Linked DNA regions of Oryctolagus cuniculus. The protein of the gene in region 1 purifies or fractionates together with the protein of each later gene. This does not show direct contact. Links are inferred from orthologs where the notes say so. Each region holds a gene or a part of one and is shown in the gene's direction. Other genes may lie near its edges.

What was found. Proteins that work in one complex are often made in the same cells at the same time.
Region 2: the proteins of TUBGCP3 (region 1) and LGALS3BP purify together in Homo sapiens (affinity purification with mass spectrometry; 4 studies listed by BioGRID and IntAct, counting the BioPlex papers as one, with this or other methods). This does not show direct contact. The link is inferred for Oryctolagus cuniculus from reciprocal best matches to the Homo sapiens genes TUBGCP3 and LGALS3BP.

The regions. Positions count from the first base shown.
Region 1 is NC_091440.1:1,168,196-1,171,937, forward strand, and holds the start of TUBGCP3 (gamma-tubulin complex component 3), read left to right. Parts: upstream 1-1,576; 5' UTR 1,577-1,737; coding exon 1,738-1,813; intron 1,814-3,742. UniProt on the Homo sapiens protein: Component of the gamma-tubulin ring complex (gTuRC) which mediates microtubule nucleation.
Region 2 is NC_091448.1:2,763,988-2,767,729, forward strand, and holds the start of LGALS3BP (galectin-3-binding protein), read left to right. Parts: upstream 1-866; 5' UTR 867-1,020; intron 1,021-2,241; 5' UTR 2,242-2,262; coding exon 2,263-2,314; intron 2,315-2,994; coding exon 2,995-3,186; intron 3,187-3,742.

The DNA.
Region 1 (3,742 bases):
ACTGTGTGTGCTCCCTGTGTACTGTGTGTGCTCACTGTGTACTGTGTGTGCTCCCTGTGTACTGTGTGTGCTCACTGTGTACTGTGTGCTCCCTGTGTACTGTGTGTGCTCCCTGTGTACTGTGTATGTGCTGTGTACTGTGTGTGCTCAGTGTGTGTGTGCTCACTGTGTACTGTGTATGTGCTGTGTACTGTGTGTGCTCCCTGTGTACTGTGTGTGCTCCCTGTGTACTGTGTGTGCTCAGTGTGTGTGCTCCCTGTGTACTGTGTGTGTGCTGTGTACTGTGTGCTCCCTGTGTACTGTGTGTGCTCCCTGTGTGTGCTTCCTGTGTACTGTGTGTGCTCCCTGTGTACTGTGTGTGCTCCCTGTGTACTGTGTGTGCTCACTGTGTGCTGTGTGTACTGTGTGTGCTCACTGTGTGTGCTCCCTGTGTACTGTGTGTGCTCCCTGTGTGTGCTCCATGTGTACTGTGTGTGCTCCGTGTGTACTGTGTGTGCTCACTGTGTACTGTGTGTGTGCTGTGTACTGTGTGCTCCCTGTGTACTGTGTGTGCTCCCTGTGTGTGCTCCCTGTGTGTGTGCTCCATGTGTACTGTGTGTGCTCCGTGTGTGTGCTCACTGTGTACTGTGTGTGTGCTCCCTGTGTACTGTGTGTGCTCCCTGTGTACTGTGTGTGCTCACTGTGTGTGCTCCCTGTGTACTGTGTGTGCCCACTGTGTACCGTGTGTGTGTGCTGGTCATGCAGCCTCAGCCCCACCCTCCGCCTGGGAGAACCCTTGCCCCTCACCCTGGAAGCCCCTCCTTCCCTCCGTCCCCTGCCCTGGCACCTGGCAGGGTCGGAGGTTGTTCTGTGTCCCTTGCTGTTCTCTCGCCCTTCATGAGACGGAAGCGGACTTCAGGGAGGAGAAAACGCGGGGGTTTAAGGTTGGTGAGTCCGTATCGCCAGGCACAGAGCAGGCACGAGGTTAGGGACCAGTGAGTGATAACCGACACACCAAATGGTAAAAGTCACAAATCCAGGCCGGCGCTATGGCTTAGCAGGTAAAACCACTGCCTGCGACGCTGGCATCCCATGTAGCTGGGGGTTCGAGTCCTGGCTGTTCCACTTCCAACCCAGCTCTCTGCTGTGGCCTGAGAAAGCAGCAGATGATGCCAAGTCCTTGGGCCCTGCACCCACGTGGGAGACCTGGAAGACGCTGCTGGCTGCTGGCTTCCCCCTGGCCCAGCCCTGGGCGTTGCAGCTATCTGAGGAGTGAATCGGAGGATGGAAGATCTGTCTCTATGTAACTCTGCCTTTCAAATAAATAAATAATTTTTTAAAAAAGTCACGAAGCCATTGCACTGATGTAAATACGTTTGTTTCATCGAGAGTGTGAATCAAACAAATGCCATTTAAAAAAAAGAACACGCCGAATTACGGACGACAGGGGTTGCTGTTGCTACTCAGACAGGCACACACCCCCCCATCAATCGACGCCCTTGGGGCGGACCCTTCTGTTGCCCGGAACTCTTGTGGCCCGCGGGTGATTGCCGGGGGGAAAACGTGGCAGGCGCGCGGGGAACTGTTAGGCCGACGCACGCCGGCCGGTTCCCGGAAGAGCGAGGCATTTTGGGAAGCGGCTCTGTTTCGCGCGTTCCGGTAAAATGGCGGCCCCGGGGCTGGCGGTCCCTGCGCCGTAGGCTGTGGGAAAGCGGGGAGCCGCGGGCGCAGGCGGGCGGGGTCCCCGCCGAGGCGAGGATGGCGACACCGGACCAGAAGTCGCCGAACGTTCTGCTGCAGAACTTGTGCTGCCGGATTCTGGGCCGGAGCGAAGGTAGCGGGGCGGGCCGGGCGTGTGGCGGGGCGCGGCGGGGCCCGGGCCGCCGCGTGCTGGCGAGTAGCTCCTCGCGGGCCCCGGGCGGGCGGGCGGGCGGGCGGGGGAAGCGTGGCGGCGGAGTTGTGCGGGGCGCGCTCGCCACCCTCACCGGCCATGTTTTCCGAGCGGGGAGCGTTGAGGGCTGGGCGTGCGTGGAGTCCCCGCGCGTGGGGGGCACTTGCGTGGGCGCGGGCGGCATGCGCCCGAGGGGCTCCCGCGTCCTGGGGGCCCGGGGCGGGAGCTGCGGGCTCCGAAGTCAGGCCCGCGGGACGGCCGGCTCCGGCGCCCGGCGCGCGTCGGGTCGCTGCTTTCTCGCGGGGTTCCGGGGCGGCCGAGGACTCGCTTTGTGTTGGGGGAAGCGAACGGCTGTGGGCAGCTCCCGCCCCGCTCTGTGCCGCGCGTGTCGCTGGGTCGGGGACCCCTCCGCCGCGGCGTCGGCTGCTGGCGTGCGGGGACCCCGCGCTGTGCCGGAGGCGCGCTCGGGCTGCGGGGGGCGCGGGGACGGGCCGAGGGGAGGACGCGGTCGTGGGCGCGGGCACCGTCCGAGACCGAGGGGAGACCCGCGCACTGCAGGGCAGGGCTCCTCAGCAGGGGCAGCGCCGGGGCTTGCACCCTGGCGAGTTCTGCGGGCCCGCCGTCACGGTGACCTCCAGCTTAGGAACCCGCGGTGTTTGGTCTCGGCCGGGCCCCGGGGCTTGGTAGCCGATCCGCACCCGCCGCCTCCCGGCCGGTGCCTGTGCGGTGCGGGGCGCGCTGCCCGGTGCGTGTCGGCCGCCGCCGGCGCTGCGTGTGCGTTCGGCCCGGCCGGCCCCTGCCTCCCGGTGGCCGGGCAGCTGTCGTTAGCGCGGTCAGCTTGCCTCGTTCCTCGGTCGCGGTGCTGGTCCTGGGCTGGCGCTGGGACAGCAGTGTTTGGTTCTGCCGGTGCCGGCAGAGTTTTTTTTCCTTCGTTGCCGTTGTCATCATCAGATTTTGGAAGTCACTTGTTGTGAGCTAGAATGTTTCCCGACAGTTAAGCATTTTGAAAATTAGACACTATTGGAGAGAGAGAGTGCTCCCGTCCGCTGACCTCAGTGCCAGCCCCGGGGCACCCGGGAGCTGGGGTGGAACCCAGGTCTCCCATGTGGGTGGCACGAACCCAGCAACTTAAGCCAGCACCTGCCTCCCAGCGCACAGTAGCTGGGAGCAGCATCGGGACTGAAACCCAGGCGGTCTGCTCCGGGGTGCAGCGTCCTACCCTGTGTGCTAGCTGCGGCACCAAAGCCCTGAGCCCCAGCATTTAACTTTTTTTTTTTTTAAATTGAGACTCCTTCTCGTTGATATAAAAGTTCCACTCCCGCCAGAGACCGCAGTGCTTCTCTCTGCAGAAATCGCTGTCCTCTGTCTTTGATTTAGCATTGGGTCTAAACTAAGATGGCTGTCAGTGGGACCCGGAGGGGATTCCCTTTGAATGACATGTCATAAAATAGATTAACGGTGATATTCGCTTTGATGTGTTCTGAAGTGCTAGGATTGCCAGATGTTTATGGCACTAATTTGAGTTTTACTACTACTTACTGAAAAACTTGTGTTTAGTAGCTTATTGTGTTTTATTTGTTCTGGCTCAGCGAGCAAAGGAGCAGCAGGAGTTGCTGCCTTTACTACATTTGTATTGAAGCCTTTTCCGCTTGGTGGTTATTTTATCTGACAACTGCCTGGTGCGTTCATTAGTTACTCATTTCGTAATGATAAATTACATGTTTTGCAACCCTCATGCAAAAATCTAAAATCTATGATGCTGTGCAATCTGAAATGTTTCTAGTGTCATGCAGTATCGGAATTTCATTTTTCAGACTTTCGGATTAGGGATGCTCACCTGGTAAATCCTATGTATTATCCCAAACCTCCCCC
Region 2 (3,742 bases), on another chromosome or scaffold:
CCACTTCTGATCCAGCTCTCTGCTGTGGCCTGGGAAAGCAGTGGAAGATGGCCCAATCCTGGGCCCCTGCACCCGCATAGGATACCGGAGAATGCTCCTGGCTCCTGCTTTAGATCAGCTCAGCTCTGGCCATTGTGGTCGTTTGGGGGAGTGAACCAATAGATGGAAGACCTCTGTCTCTCTCCCTCTCTGTCTCTCCCTCTTTGCCTTTCAAATAAATAAATCTTTTTAAGAAAAGAAACCAGAGGTGATGTTGATCGGGTCACTGGGCCGCTGGGCCCAGGACCTCACACCCAGCGTGGTGGCTCAGGGCGCCATCCCCTGAGAGGACGCTGCTCCCGCTGGGCTGTCTGGGCGCACAGCCCTCCCCGACACCATCCCTGCGGCCAAGGGCGCCCTGGGACCTCGCAGCTGGGGATGGAGGCGGGGGGGGGTGGTGTGTGCTGGGCGGGGCCATTCGTGTTCCCGTTAGGGGAGTGACCGCTCTGCAGTGTGGGTGGTCAGCCCAGCGTGGACAAGGCCAGGCCCTGGTGTCAGGTACTGGGGCAGCTCCAGCTCAGCCACGTGCCGGCCGCTTTCCTGGTCTCCCAGGGCTCAGGGCCCCCTGCCCGACTGCCTGCGGGGGTCAGTGCCCTGCAGCCTGGCGGGGTGTGGGCTGCCCACCCAGCCAGCAACGTGCTGGGCCCAACCCTGCCAGGACACAGCGCTGCCGTCTGCCCCAGGGCCTCTGCTCCGCTGTCCCAGGCTGGCCTTCGTGTTGTGGTCCTGCCCCTCGCTGTAGGTCTTGTTGTCAGAACTTGGGTGGCTGCCATCCCCACCCCCACAGCCAGAGCAGGAAGGAAGAGGGGGCCTGGCCAGCAGAGCTGCAGCCAACCCCAGCGGAGGCTGCAGTCAGGTGGTTTGTGGGAATCGAAAGTCGTCCCTGTTCCCTGGAGCACTTCCTGGGGCCGCCCCTCCACACTGCAGGCTGGGCCTCCAGCAGAGGCGGGAGCCTCCCGCACAGCCACCTGTGCCAGGCAGGTAAGCCCCTGTCTACGCAGGCAGCCAGCGTGGGCCACACTGCAGGCACCGGGCCTGGAGCAGGGCGCCCCGGGCTCCCGAGTCCAGGGACCACCCCCGCCGCGCCTGGGCCCGCAGGGCCTCTGTGTGTGGTTGTTCCCTGCACAGGGACCCGGCCGAGGCAGGAGGGGCCAGCGTTGAGCCCTCAGCCCTGTCTTGGGCCTGCGCGTCCCCGCCCGGGCCTGGCCCCAAGGCCTTGTTCTCACCTGCACGACAGCACCGCACGGAGGGCGGCGGCCACGTGCCAGGGCCTCGCGTGGCCCCCATGTCCGGGGCCCTGACTTCCTGTCCCCAAGGGAACAAAGCCGGCCCTGCAGCTCCCTGGGAAGTGGGGCAGGGACAGCAGGTGGCCCTGGCCCTCCTGCCCGTGAAGGGCGCGCGGAGCCCTTGGCTTCCCTGGACAGCAGCCCCTGCACGGTCGTTGGGGCCAGGACAGCTACTGTGCGAGGGGCCCTGGGTGACCACGTAGTGCGGGCAGCCACGCCGGGCCCCCCACAGACTGCTGCACTGGGTCCCAGCGCTCGCGCAGCAGTGAGGAGCCGGGCCTGCCTGGCGGGTGTCCAGGCCCCCGCTTGTAGCCAGTGCTGCTAGTGGCCACCGCGGGTGTCCCAGAGAAGCAAACGCTGGCTCTGCCGGGGGCAGCAGGGCGGGCGGGGACGGGGGTGGGAGGTGCCCTGGGGAGGACCCCACGGCCTCTCCCAGCCTGTGTGTCCTGGGGACCGGAGCCGAAGTCCACGTCGTCCCCCTCTGGCCTCCCCCCAAGGGGCTCTCAGACACGCCCGTCTCCCACGGAGCTGCAGGGAGAACCCGCCAGGCAGGGACTCCCTCCCCCTCCTCCCCGACCCGAGCCCAGCCTCTCTGGGGCCCGGATTTCACTCCTGTCGGAGCCCCTGCCCTGCCTCTCACCTCCCTTCCCCTCTGCCCGCCTTGGGTGCCTCTGGGGCTCTGCCGCGCCCTGGGCCCCCGGCTGCGCCTCCCCCTCCCTCGCCCCTGCCTCTGGCCCAGGCTCACTCTGCCTGCAGCCCAGGCACAGCCCCCCCCAGGCATCCATGGCACAGGTCGCCTTCTTGTTCATCATGGGGAGATCTCGGGGGGGGGTTGCGGGAGGGGGTCCCTGTGTGCCCCGCAGCGGAGTGGAGGACGGGTCGGGGTGCGGGCTCACGCCGCTTCCTTCTGCTGCAGGGTCAGGGCTCCAGGGAGGCCATGGCCCCCCCACGGCTCTTCTGGGTGTGGCTGCTGCTCGCCGGGACTCGAGGTGAGCTGAGCCCGGGAGGTGCCCAGGGCCGAAGTCCACGCGCCTGCTGCCGCCCTGCCCCGCGGGGTCAGGGTCGGGGTTGGGGTCGGGGTGGGCCCCTCCTCCGGAGAGCTGGGAGGTGCTGGCCAGGTCTCTCCTGCCTCAAGCCAGGCGGTACCCAATGAGGGTGGCTTGTGTCTTCCGGGGACCCCGGGTTCTGGCTTTGGGGGGATGGGGAGGGGACCCAGGAACTCTGTCCCCAGTGGGGATGGGGGCAAGCACATAGGCCGGTGGCGGGGGTGGTCGTGAGGCCAGCAGCCTCTGGACACAGGCCAGGCCTCCAAGGGTCCTGGACACCTCCCTCCCCCTCCCCCTCGCCAGTCCTGGAGCCCATGGACGCCCCTGCTCGGCTGCCCTCGAGGGCCCCCACCCAGTCCTCTCTGGGGTCCTGCCCCTCTTGTCCAGTGCTGGAGAGCACCGGTTCCTCGTCCGTGTCCCTGTCCCTGTCCTCAGCTCCGGCCACGCGGACCAGGGAGACAAGTCAGCCTCGCGGGCTGGGGGCGGGGTCTGCACGGGTGTCACCCAGCCAGGGTGGAGGGCGCTTTGACGTGAGGGACCGGCCAGCCTGACCGGGGAAGCCCTTACAACCGCCGCGCTGCTGGGTGGGCGCCGCGTCCAGCTGACCTTTGCCCTCTCCGCAGGCGAGAAGGACGGGGACATGCGGCTGGCCAACGGGGACGCAGCCAACGAGGGCCGCGTGGAGATCTTCTACAGGGGCCAGTGGGGGACCGTGTGCGACAACCTCTGGGACCTGACGGACGCCAGCGTCGTCTGCCGGGCCCTGGGGTTCCAGAATGCCACCGAGGCTCTGGGCAGAGCCGCCTTCGGGCCAGGTGGGGCTGCCCATGCCCAGCACTGAGACAGGCCCGCTGCAAGGCCTCTGGGCCTGTTCCCTCTGGCCGCTCCGTGCTGGGCCAGTCCCCTCTGGGCCTGATCCTGAACCGTTCCCTCCCGAGGAGAATCTGTGGGCAGGAAGTGCCCGCTCCCCGCTGACTGAGTCTGGAAAAAAAGGGGAAAAACCCAAATTCGCAGCGGCGGGGCCCACAGCGTGAGCCAAGCCCAGGTGTTGGCCGTAAGAGATCCAAACCCACGCTGGACCGGCACCGTGGAATAGCCCGGTCCGAGGCCTGCATACAGGGGACGCACGCTGCAGAGGCGCGGGAACCCCAAAAACCAGCCCCCCGTTTTCTGAAAAGTCTCCTCCAGGGCAGGTGTGTGGGTCCGTGGATCAAGCTGCATCCCAGCCCGAGTGCCGCCCCGCCCCCGTCCAGTCCAGCTTGCAGCAGGTGACGGCCCACGTACCCAGGTTCCTGCCACCCTGTGGGAGACGCAGTGGGCGCTCCTGGCCCTTCGGCCTGGCCCAGTCCCGGCTGTTGCTGCCATTTGGGG